2 linked regions of the Xenopus tropicalis genome follow. The protein of the gene in region 2 purifies or fractionates together with the protein of the main gene of each other region. This does not show direct contact. Links are inferred from orthologs where the notes say so. Each region holds a gene or a part of one and is shown on either strand. Other genes may lie near its edges.

The links. Proteins that work in one complex are often made in the same cells at the same time.
Region 1: the proteins of klhl15 (region 2) and nudcd3 purify together in Homo sapiens (co-immunoprecipitation; 3 studies listed by BioGRID and IntAct, with this or other methods). This does not show direct contact. The link is inferred for Xenopus tropicalis from reciprocal best matches to the Homo sapiens genes KLHL15 and NUDCD3.

What each region holds. Positions count from the first base shown.
Region 1 is NC_030679.2:126,201,725-126,208,032, forward strand, and holds part of nudcd3 (nudC domain-containing protein 3), read right to left. Parts: coding exon 6,156-6,308; intron 5,137-6,155; coding exon 5,004-5,136; intron 1,684-5,003; coding exon 1,540-1,683; intron 1-1,539.
Region 2 is NC_030678.2:43,214,190-43,220,497, forward strand, and holds the end of klhl15 (kelch-like protein 15), read right to left. Parts: intron 2,112-6,308; coding exon 1,002-2,111; 3' UTR 754-1,001; downstream 1-753. UniProt on the Homo sapiens protein: Substrate-specific adapter for CUL3 E3 ubiquitin-protein ligase complex.

The sequences.
Region 1 (6,308 bases), on a different chromosome or scaffold from region 2:
TGCAGGACTGATGAGACAATTTTGGACCCTGAAGCAGAACTGTTAGCTGCATACCAACATCCTGCGTTTTATAGTCCCATTTAGGAAAGCAATGGGTGAAATGTGGAGGCAAGTATTACAATGCACAAAGGGAAAAAGAGAGACGTAGAGCCCCTGAAGAAGTCTTGAAGGCATAATGGAGAAAGGTTGTAAAAGAAGCAGATCATGGGATGAACATAAACTCATGAAGTGGTGATTTACTGGAATGTAAAGAATTTGGGTAGGCATTGGGTTTATTTAGATATAATTCTAGAAGGACTCTTGAGGCACTGTCAGGGGAGGAGGAACAACTAGCAAGATGAATAAGCTTTGCAGCAGGATTTATTGTAGACAGTAAAGCAGACAGCCTGCAGAGTGAAAAACCAGACAGCAGGGGACTGCAGCAAATCAAGATGTGTCATGATAAGGGAGTGAATGAAAATTTGGTGGAATCTACCATATGACTACACACAAACTACATTGGAAGGATGAAAGATGCAAGAGAAGTTTCTGAAAATGAAATATGGGGAGCACGGAAATGCTATACAATGTTTATTCAGAGAGCTTAGGAGCTCAATGGACACTCATAGAATTAAAAATATCTAATATCTTAGCCATAAAGCAAGACAGGGATAAGGCGTTTAGGGGAACTTTGAGTCAATGCAAATAAACTTGAATAAACACCCGTGAATCAGAAATAGGATACAAGTTGAATATATACAAATTGAATACTACATAAACCAGAGAAGTAGTTATTAATACAGTATGGAAGGAATACAGATGCAAACTTGTATCATTATTAATAACAAAATCCATGAGATCAAATATGTTTCCAAAAGAAAACTAGCAGGGAGAGTAAAATTTAATGGCAGAACCATAAAGCACCCAAATGCCAGATGTACCAAGAATAGGAAACTTTAAATATGCAATAAGAGAGAAAACAAACGCTTTAGTGTATTTATAATGTATAAGTTCATTTTTCTTTAAAAACTGCTATACACCCACCTATAACCACAAAGTTTAGAGGAGTGGGTAGTAACCAAGGAGCTGGCCAGCAACTTGTTCTTATTAAGTGGTGAGATGAATGGAAGGAGTATGGCCAAGCTGACTATTGATCTAAGTGTAGAAATTATTTAGGAGTTCTATTGGGAGTATGGTCCTGCTAAGTCTCAATAAGCTGATAATAACTGAAGATTAAACCACAGGTTGTGGGTCTCTCAGACATGGCCCATGTGATCTATATGCAGGGTGCATGGTGGGACCATGCTGATGGCAGTAACAGAGGGCTTATTCTGTATAACAAAATTAATTACTGTCACCTAGCAAGGCACCCACCTCTACAACTGACCTAAAAAAATGGCAAGTGAGTGGCATGGAAGAACACATGGGAACGTGAATAATTCAGCTCATGATTGACACCAGTCTCAAAGGAAATAAAAGATCCTGATTATTCATAGTGATTATATATGCCTTAACAAGCTGCACACAAGTCAGATTCAGTATCTTATTAAAGAGTCTTACCACAATACACTTTCCAGGTTCCAGACTCCAGAGAGAGGTCTCTGCATTTATTTTGTGAGTAAAGCTTCCCTCCACCAGAACACGTTCCCCTCCTCCTTCTCTCACCGCCACACGAATACAGCTACTGCGCAGGTCCACTGACACCTGAGGAAGAGGGTGCAGACAAGGGAGTCATACGCCCATTAGAATCAAAGGTGCTCTGTCCTTTACTCAATACAGCAACAGTAGCACAGGTATCACAGAAGATACCGAATGGGGGCCATTTTGGAAAAGGTAATTTTGTGCAATGCAAGTCAGCAGCTAAGCACAGTGATACTGTGCAATGAGTTAGTAAACAATAATATGCAGCTTGTTCCCAACCTGATTCCATAAGCAGAGCTCCTTCTTAATCCCCATGATATCTGTGGTTGGATAGGACATCCTATTATTATCTATGTACAGTTTATAAGCTCATTGTTGGGGGCTGTAATATGAGATAATAATGTGAACCCAGGTTTTATTTGGTCAAAGTTCCATGCTAAAGCAAATGTATTGCCCACTCACAGTCACTTGTTTTAACTCTGTTAACTGGCCATAATTAAATTGAAAATGAACACGGCTGTATATTCTCTTTTCAATATACAGCCATTAATAGTGTTCTGTGGTTTTAAAGAAACAGTAATGCAAAAAAATTAAAGTGTATCAAAGTAATTCAAATATAATGTACTGTTGCCCTGTGTTTGCCCCTACCCTACTATAGTTTATGTAAATATAGCTGCTGTGTAGCCACAGGAATAGCCATTCAAACTGAAATAGGGCTAAATGGCACAGGTCATTTAGCAGATAACAGATAAGCTCTGTAAAACACCATTATATTTTACAGAGCTTATCTGTTATCTGCTATGTAACCTGTGCCTTTTCTCCTTTTTCCAGCTTGGCTGGCCCTATGGCTACACATCAGCTTATTTATATATACTATAGTATTGTTTCTCAAGCCAACACACTAGGTTTACCAGTGCAGGGCAAAAGTACATTACATTTTAAACACAATTTTTGGTGTTACAATTCATTTAAATTAATATGCAAAGATAACAGAACCTCCATAGAAAGGGATAAAACCCACTGTTCTTAATATCAATTATAGTTACAAGTAACTTTAAAAATACAAATTTATGTTTGGATGTTGCTTGGCATTATAATTTTTTCATTATGCAAACACAGAAAAAAACCCCCAAAAATAATGTTTGCCTAATAATAACAATAATAACAATAATAATAATAATAATTCTAAGCAATGTTCCAATATACATTCATTACAAATTTGTAATGGGAGCATCATGGTGTAAGGATGTTTTTTAGCATATGGTACTGGCAGACTTCATATAATTCTATAATTATAGAATCTGCTGCCATCCACCAGGATGATGAAGATGAAACGAGGCTGGACATTTCAGCAAGACAATGATCCCAAACACACAGCCAAGGAAACTCTCAGTTGGTTTCAGAGAAAGAAAATAAAGCTGCTAGAATTACCCAGTCAATCAACCAACTTGAATCCAACTGAAAATCTATGGAAGGAACTGAAGATCAGAGTTCATAGAAGAGGCCCCTGGAACCTTCAAGATTTGAACACAGTTTGTGTGGCAGAATGGGCCAAAGTCCCACCTGAACAATACACGCCACTAGTTTCTCCTACAGGAGGCGCCTTAATCCGTCATTCCCAACAAAGGCTTTTCTACTAAGTATTAAATACATTTCAGTGTTCAGCGTGTTTAATACTTATTCCCTGTGTCATTTCACTTTACTACACATAATGTATGGACTTATTTGTTTTGATTTCTTTGTACATGTGGATTACTTTGGTTGTTACAGACATCTGGTGTAAATTTCATGTCAATAGCCCCATTAGAAATATATTTACTAAGAAAAACATGTTCAATACTTATTTTCCCTGCTATACAAGCAGCACTATATAAATAAATATAAATATGCATACAAACATATCTCCCCAGGGTTCTCTGTCCCTACCACAACTATTGTCATGACATTCATGACAAATTGTGAGGTTATTTATGTATGTTGGTATTTATGTTACACGTAAGTACACTGTGACGGATGTGAACACATCTACATTGCAGATAGGTGTATCTTCATACGTGAGATAGTTCCTATTTTTCTATTTACTAAAATGCCTTTCTTTTTATTAAAAGTTTTCTTAAAATATCAATATGTATTTTTAAAATAGTTTTCATGGGTATCGATATCCTTTGTAACCTCTTAAATATTCTCCCATTTAAATGGAAAGTTCATCTTAAAAATAATTTTGACTTTAATGAAGTCAGTGATATCCTAAGACAGTTTTTTTTTATTAGTTGCTGAAGTATTGCCTTTGCATTGAGCTTGCCCTGTTTTTTGCCACTAATCCATTTGATGGCAGGAGGTCGTCCCTAGCTTTAGCATCGGGAACAGGTCACATATGATCCTAAGGACAGAGGCAGGCATGAGTGGCGTGTCTGGGTTCCACCAGGGGGCCACCGCTACATTAAGAGCCCCACACCCCAGCAGCAGAGGTCTCTCGAAGGGGCCCATAAGGTTCTGTCCCAGTATCCTGCTGGCCCAATATGATCCTGCCCAGCGAAGTTCTCTATCACACCACCTGGGGCTGCCCAGAATAGTAGCATGAAATACACAAGGATAAAAACACACAGACCTACTAGTAGCAGCTACTTTTTCATGGCTACTTAACTCCAGAAAATACCATGCCATAGACAATACTGAGAAGTGCCTCTGCTAAAACACACATAGAGACAATTACCAGTAAATGATCAGCACTGTCTATTTTAGCAGCCGTGACAAGTAGCTGCTACTAGTAGCTCGGTGTGTCTTCACCCTAACGCTGTAGCAGCATCTGTATACTTTCTCTCACTTGTACTACCACCCATACTGGGAAATAAATTGGCATTACAGCTGCACAGTTTAGTCTTATTGTTTACAAATGACAGATTCCAGTCTTTCACATGGGAAAATGATATAATCATATAACACATTACTGTCTGATAAAAGACTGTACAGGTATGGAATCTATTATCCAGCAGGATGTTTGGGAAGGTTTTGGTAATCGTTTTTCAGATTTTTCTGTATAATGGATTTCATACCTGGTATATGTTTTTAATATTTACTGTGATAAACTATATGCCAGACATGCAGAATTACACAGTTACACACTGCGGCATACCACTCTATTTACTTCCCTCCCCAAAGCAGTTTCTAGATCCTTCAATGTATTGATCTCTGTCACCCTCTGCTGGGAAAATGGCTCTATAAGGCAAACACCTTGCCAGTTAGCATCATAACCATACATTGCCTTACACTGCCCCCTTTAGGACACAAGTCTTTGGGACTTGTCTCTTCTCAGTTTTCTGTAATAAAACTACATCTGCCCGCCTGTATATCACAAGTTACTCAATAAATATGGTGTTGCTTACCTGCCGACCTTTTATTACAGATTTAGGCACTGGAACTTTAATTTCCACATCTGTGTAATCCTGAGACCAAACATAATTCTTTCTTATGGCTCCATTGTAACTGTCAGGGTCAGCTTGGTAGTCTTCTTGTTCCCTGAATGGATGCAAATATACATATACTTATATATAAGAGTTGGGGTTTAATCATTTCCAAAAACCAAATGATCTAACATAGAAAAAAAATTGCAATAACTCAAAGAGGATAAGGGAGTTCTCAAGCTATAAACATTAAAGGAACAGTAACACCAAAAAATTCAAGTGTATAAAAGAAATTCCAATATAATGTACTGCTGCCCTGCGATGGTACAACTGGTGTGTTTGCCTCTGAAACACTACTATGGTTTATATAAAGAATGCAGCTGTGTAGCCATGGGGGAAGCTGTTCAAAAGAGAAAAGGCACAGGCAGATAACAGATAAAACACTATTGTATTCTACAGAGCTTATCCGTTATCTGCTATGTAACCTGTGCCCTTTCTCCTTTTTTCCAGCTTGAATGGCTGCCCCCGGGCCTACACCAGCTTATTATATATAGCCTATAGTAGAGTTACTGTAGCAAACACACAACTTTTACCAGTGCAGGGCAACAGTACATTATATTTCATTTACTTTAAAACTCTTTAATTTTTTGCTGTTACTGTTCCTTTAATGAAGAAGAGGGCAACGATGGAGAGTAGGAACGGGCAAAATACAAGCCTACAGAAGTTAATGATGATCAAAGGGATGTAGTAGTTCAACAATCTCTGGTAGGCTTCAGGGAGACCATCTATGCTGTGCAGACAGATCCAGATGATAAAAAAAAAAGAAGAAGAGGAATGACTATGAAAAGGGAAAAATGAGAATGAATCAAAGATGTATGGAAAAGCAAGTAAAATGGATAAGATTCAGGGATACTGAAAAAGAGTACAAACAATGGAGGAACGCAAACAGCAAGTAAAATAGAACAGCAATATAGCAATACCCTTGCTTCCAGCTGTTTCAGGACTACAACTAAAATCATCTTTTGGGGATGATGGGAGTTTAGTTATCCAGCATCTAGTCTGCAGAGGGCTGGACATTTCATTGTTTATAAAGACACCACCAAACAAACATTTCCAGGGAAGAAATATTTTTACTTGGGCTCAGCAGCTGCTTGTCCTGCGCAGTCTTCACTGGTTTCTCGTCCTTCTGCTCTTCCTTTTGTATCTATTTGTTGTGGCTCTTCTTCTGCTTTGTCTTGTTCCAGTGTTGCCTCCTCTGCAGGAGTCTCAATGATGACTTCCTGGACT
Region 2 (6,308 bases):
AGTAGCTCCCAATCTTCTTTCTCTGGACTGCTGTCACTTACTTAATAAACTGTAAATTATATCCTTATAATCGGAGTTTAGTGATGTAATTTCTATTACAAGTCACCTTGGTGTTCCATGACCTGTCTAAAAGCACTCAGCCCTCGGGCCTTTATATGGTCATAGAACTCCTTGGTGACTTATAATATCCCTATATTTTACAATAGAGGGTAATTTATTCGCTCTCATATATATATATATATATATATATTATATATATCTATTATAAAATATACAATACAAGGCCAATTAGTAAATAATTCAGATCCTCATTACATTGCAGCTCAGAAACCAGTGCAATTATTATCAGCATTTCAACTTCTATGACAGACTTAATTTAGCTTCTCCTCTCTGAAGGACTGAATTATTGCTACTATAGAGATGCTGAGCCTTTAGGCTGGTGCAATAAGCTCATTATATAAGATGCAGCATTTCTAGATTCAAGATTCATTTTTAGGGTTTACTTCTCCTTTAATTATTTCATGAGATGCAGAGCTCAAAAATACATGTCATTAAATATGGGCATGTGTGTGGAAACAGTCAGGATTTACTGCAAATTACCCACAGTCTTCCCACCATGCCACAATAGACAAACCATCATCCATTACATACCCAATTATTTCCATGTTATATTTTCTTTTTGATTTTTTATGATCAGCCTGTATATCAGGACACCAACAGTGGATTTTGTTGCAGAGGAATAAAAAGACAAAGTGATTGGAAAACAGACAAAATGTATTTAAATAAAAAACAAAACTTAGCCAGACTGGGCACGGCCACCCCAAGCCTGCCAAGTCCACAATGGGCATCCTGATTCATATAATGCTTTCAGAGAACAAAGAAAACCAAGTAGTCAGTGTCATGAGAACCTGCCTTTAGCTATGGGAATAGCACAAGGTCTGAGTTGCTTAAGACATTTTTTTTTTTTTTTAAAAATTGCTAAAAACAAAAGTTGATCATTTTTATGTGCAACGTTTCACATGCTCTAAAACGTATTCTGGAAAATGCAGGCTGCATACTTGTAAACCATCCAGCTTGCAAGGCATTCTGGGATACTCATCCTCTTTCCATTTGTTCTCCTCTGGGTCAAAGGTTAAGATGGAATCACTATAATGCCCATTGTAACAGAGGCCACCAAGCACTATGATTTGATTGTCTAGCACAGCTACTCCATGACCACTCCTACCTATTGGCATAGATGCCAATATAGTCCACTGATCCATATCGGGATCATAAACTTCCGTAGATGGGCAGCCCTGCGATTCAAATGAAGCCCTTAAAATAACGCAGACTCCGCCAAAGACGTACAGTTTGCCATTGTATGAAATCATCTTGTGGAAACACCTAGCGTAATTCATTTTGCACTTATTTTCCCAGCAGTTTGTTAGAACCTGTGTTCTTCTGGTTCTTTGTTCCACTGTTCCCACTTTGCTTGGGTCAAACACACACACCTGCTTAGAAGTTGAAGAGGATGTAATGCCACCTGTGATGAACAATTTATTATTAAGAACGGTCCCCTCGTGGCCATATTTGTTGACAGGGTAAGGGTCCACAAACTCCCATTTGTTTTCTATGATATCATATCGCTCTGTGGAGTAAAAGGTTTCATCACGCGTCCTTCCAGCCACAGCATAAATATATCTACCAATGACTCCGACGGCAAATTCCGACCGCGGTACTGACATGTCTGCCATTCGCAGCCAGCTGTTTTGTCGTGGATCATATCTGAATACTTTAGAAGATGCATGAAATTCACCATCCGGCCCGAGTTCCTCTCCCCCCAGCAAGAAAACAAAATTGTTGACGATGGCAAGGCAGTCTGGACGGAGTGGAACCAGGGGTCCTTCAAGCTCCCACCACACACGAGGCTTATGAAGAAGGAGGATCTTGCTATTAACCATGCTGTGCCCAATCATTCCCCGGAATACTGCAGTCTGGGGTTTTGCTGAACGGATGTGGTTTGATTTCATTTCCATCAGAGGCTGCTCGCTGACATTATGGAAGTAGTTCAGGGCTTGCTCAACTTCGTGCCTCAGCTGCCGTGAGTACCGGTAGAATTCAGATGTTTTCACCTAGAGGGAAAAAGACAAAAACAGGGTGCATAATGTGAATTTAGCAATTCAGTGGCAAAGCTTGAAAATAAACATTATCCAATCGACTACATAACACTTTTTTTTAAAACAAGAAACACATTTATGACCCTGAACACAAAAAAACCCCAAAGAACAGCATATTATATATATAATATTATATATATAATATATATATATATATATATATATATATATATATATATATATTTATTAGATGGACAAATGTCTTATATAGCTCAAGTGCTGCAGGAAAATCCACAGCCCCTTAAAGGAAAAGAACATGTGTCTCATGTGAGAGATTTTCTTGGTATTACAGTAACTTTCCAAAGTAACACTAGAAGCCTTTCTGACAAAGTTGCTGTGCCAAGCCCTATGCTACACACTTACAGCTCCCTTTGCAGCCCACTGCCAACCATCCAGACTCTAATGGCACAGTCCTTCAGAACAGGGGGCATGGCACAGTGCTTGCCATAAGTCAGGGCCTGGAAGGCTTCACAGGGAATGTAACTTCTGTGGCATAGGGGTGTAAGTGACACAGAACCCTGATGCTATGAGACTATTAACATAGTGCCATTTCTTGTGAGAGCTGTATTTGCCATTAATAAAAACCAAATCACAAATTTCTAATACACAATTACTTTAATCTCAAATAGACTGCTACAGAGTAGGATATGTCCACCCAATGGATAGGTGCAGACTTTGGAAACATGCTGCATTCATGCTGCGTAGCTTTTCAGGTTAACACAATGCCAACCCATATCCATCATTTGCCAGCCTTACGGTAACACTGGAAGCTTTTACACCCAATACTGATGTGCAAGTGGCCTAGGGAAACCTTTACAATGCAGATGGGGTTGCAGTATATTTTCCACGCTGTATATGGGATGTTCTCCGTATTGTTGCCAATATTAAGTCAACATATCTAAAGCGACTAGCACACCCAAGCAAACTTGCATATAAACTCCTGGAGTGAGGTTAATCTGACTCCGAGTTATTGAAACTACACCTTAATAAAACATGAGTGCACAGCTTGTTAAGACATTTCCATTATGTAGTAATGAAAAGGCATGGTACATTAATGAGAAGTTACGGCATTTACTCAAACTATGAACATATAATAAAACACAACAGGCAATAAGTGCATGTGGATACTGCGATCATGCAGCCAGTGTTATAATACATTTACTCTGAATTCCCACATCAATGACAGAGCTCACTTAATAGATTCTACCACTACCAAATGTGCAGCACAAGCAAGTACGGTATATGGCTTCTTTCAAATAAACAGATCAACAAACTCCCTATTCCAAAGAGCTGATTCACAAAAGACCTAGATTTTCAAGCCTACGACCACCAGTTTTGGTGCTTTGCAGGCTTAATAGGACCATAAAGAACCTGAACTGAAATTAAATTTTTATACATCGTAACCATACAGTTTCTCTGGCATCTCAATGCAACAACACAGATTGACCTCAACTTTCTTTCCATCTATCAAGTGAAAACAAGAGCATGTATTTGGTTGCCTATGCCAGCGATGCCATCCATTAAAGGGTTTCAAAAGTATTGTTTCTAGGATACAGAAGAACAGAATGAAGAGTTTTTACTCCCATGTAGAAGGCTTTTGTGTGCCTTTGGGTATGCCATAGGAAATCAAACACTACTACAGGCACCAAATGCAGCCAGGGCTTTTGTGTAGCCTCATATATATACACACACACACACACACACACACACACACACACACGTAAAGCTGGATGCATGTCTGGACTGGGATTCAAAACATTCCCTGGCATTTCAAGTACACAGAGTCCCAAACAGCCCCCACTAGCCTAATAAATAGTCTATAGCATAATACAACAGAAAGCACTGGGGTTAAAAGTGAATAAAAACTTAAATGTTACTTTCTTTTTTAAATTTGCACTAAGGCATAATTTACTATAAAAGGAGCATTTAAAAGGGACAGTATACACCCTTTTTAACATTAGCTACTTGTGCAGAACATGCTTTTTTGCCTATTGTTTTAATTAAGAAATACCTATGGTTTCTGTCATTCCTGGCACTAAACAAGAATATGAAGCCAGTTTCACGTTAGCCCATCTTCTTACTTCAAGTCCAAAAGAACTTCAAAGGAGCTGCGAAAACGGATTACTAGTCTACTGAAAAGCCCCTGATAATGAGTTTCAGGGCTTCAGGAGATTTTAAGTAGCACCAAAAGAAACCAGCTATAGGGATGAATGGGATAGTCCAAGGGAAAGAATGTGGCAGTCCTGTGTCATAATACAAAAAGTAAGTATGTAAACCCTATACACTACACTAAAAATAGAAAAACATCCCTCTTTAACTAGACTCTCTCTTGGTAAAAGCAGTGAAGGAAAAATAAAGAAAACCCAATATTTTACAGTAAAAACCGATTGTAAGAACCACCACGACCAGTCAGTGAAAATAATGCCTTAAAAAGAATTTTCACATAATGTTCATTAGAAAAGTCATTTCTAGGAATCATGTTTTTATTTATAAATATCTGCAGCTTTTCTGGCAGGGCTATATGGACCAATAATGAATTATGCATTATTTATGATATAACAGATAGAAGATGGATAAATGCAGCAGAGCCAATAGCAAAAGCACAAAGAAAAACAAAATTAAATTCAAGGAATGAACTTATATTGAAATAAAGAATGAATGTAAATATAGGTCATATGACAAACTAAATACAAAACGGAATGTTGGTCTTACTGATCATTTAAAGAATGGGTGAGATCACTTACTGAAACCACCCAATAAATCAGGATATGGGTGATGGAATAATGAAAACAGAAACTGAATGTCAAAATCATAATTTCTTTATTTAAAAAAAAAAAGTTAAAGAACTTTGATAAATGCAAAGTCTGGCAAAGGCAGTTCATCATTTCTTACACTGATGCAGTGACACAAGCTTCAAAGCGGCTCCTTTACTGAAACAAAATTAAAAAAATCTACATTTTTGCTCTCATTTTACTTGACCATCTGCTAATGGCTTTTTCTATTTCATGTTAGAACAGGATGCTTTAAGTGTCATAATGATGTTCCACAAATATATTACAGCTCAGTGTGACCTTCTTCTGGAACACAAATACTTCAGTAATTAATACATTAACCCTAGTAAAGTGATCACTTGCAAACAACCACTGCCAGTGTAATGGTATCACAACAGCATATCTGACACCTAAAGCCCAGCCCTAACAAATCCAATAAGCAAGATAGCCATGGCTGATTAAAGGATATATTTGATCTCCAAATATATTGCTTATATTAAAAGTATACGTAAGCTTTTTACTTTAAAATCCCCTAAAAAGTCTCTAAACTGAGCCCAGGATAGCATACCTTTCTCTCTGAATTCAGTCTCATGTGGGTTTTAAATTACAAGCAGCTAAAGTGCAGCTCTTTCAGCTCCTTTCTAGTCTAGTGTGAAGCACCACACCCTTTTCTGCGCTCTCCCGCTCTCTGTGACTGTAAAGTCAGTCTGCCTCTGCTCCAATGGAAAGCAATCAGGCATGTGCAGTAGGCACCTCTTCCACCATCTTTACAGTCAATAAAGGAGAGCTTAGAAAATAAAGGAACAGAGCTTCATGCTAGCCAAGGAAGTAGCTGAAATGAGCTGCTTGTGCTGTACAAATGAAATGAGACTGAGTGCAAGAAGACAGGTATTTTATTCTGGGCAGTATTAGTAATTTTTAAAAAAAAGCTTTAATTATAATTTATAAATAATAATTATTTATGCTGGTCGTTTTGGAAACTGTCTGCGGTAAGACGGTAACTGAGGTAAGAAAAGCAATCCGATGTTTTTCTAGTCATCACTAAGTTTTGGTTATACAGATACAACTGTCTGGATCTGGTATAAATGTGGAATAAATACTATTTTAAACGTTTGGCACAGGTGCACACCCCTCCATCTCTCAAGTATTGCGATTGCTCATTTCACTTCACATGCCCTGTTCATATGATAAGATGTTGCCCTGCCAGACAATATATATATATATATAAATCTTGGACAGACCAAACACAAATGGATGGTCTGTCAAAATGAAACCCTACTGTGCCAGACATGACCAGATGGTTCAGCAGTATAATCAGAACTGGGCATACTGCCTGGACATGTATGGCAATCTTAACAGAAATTTCATGTTAATAACGGAC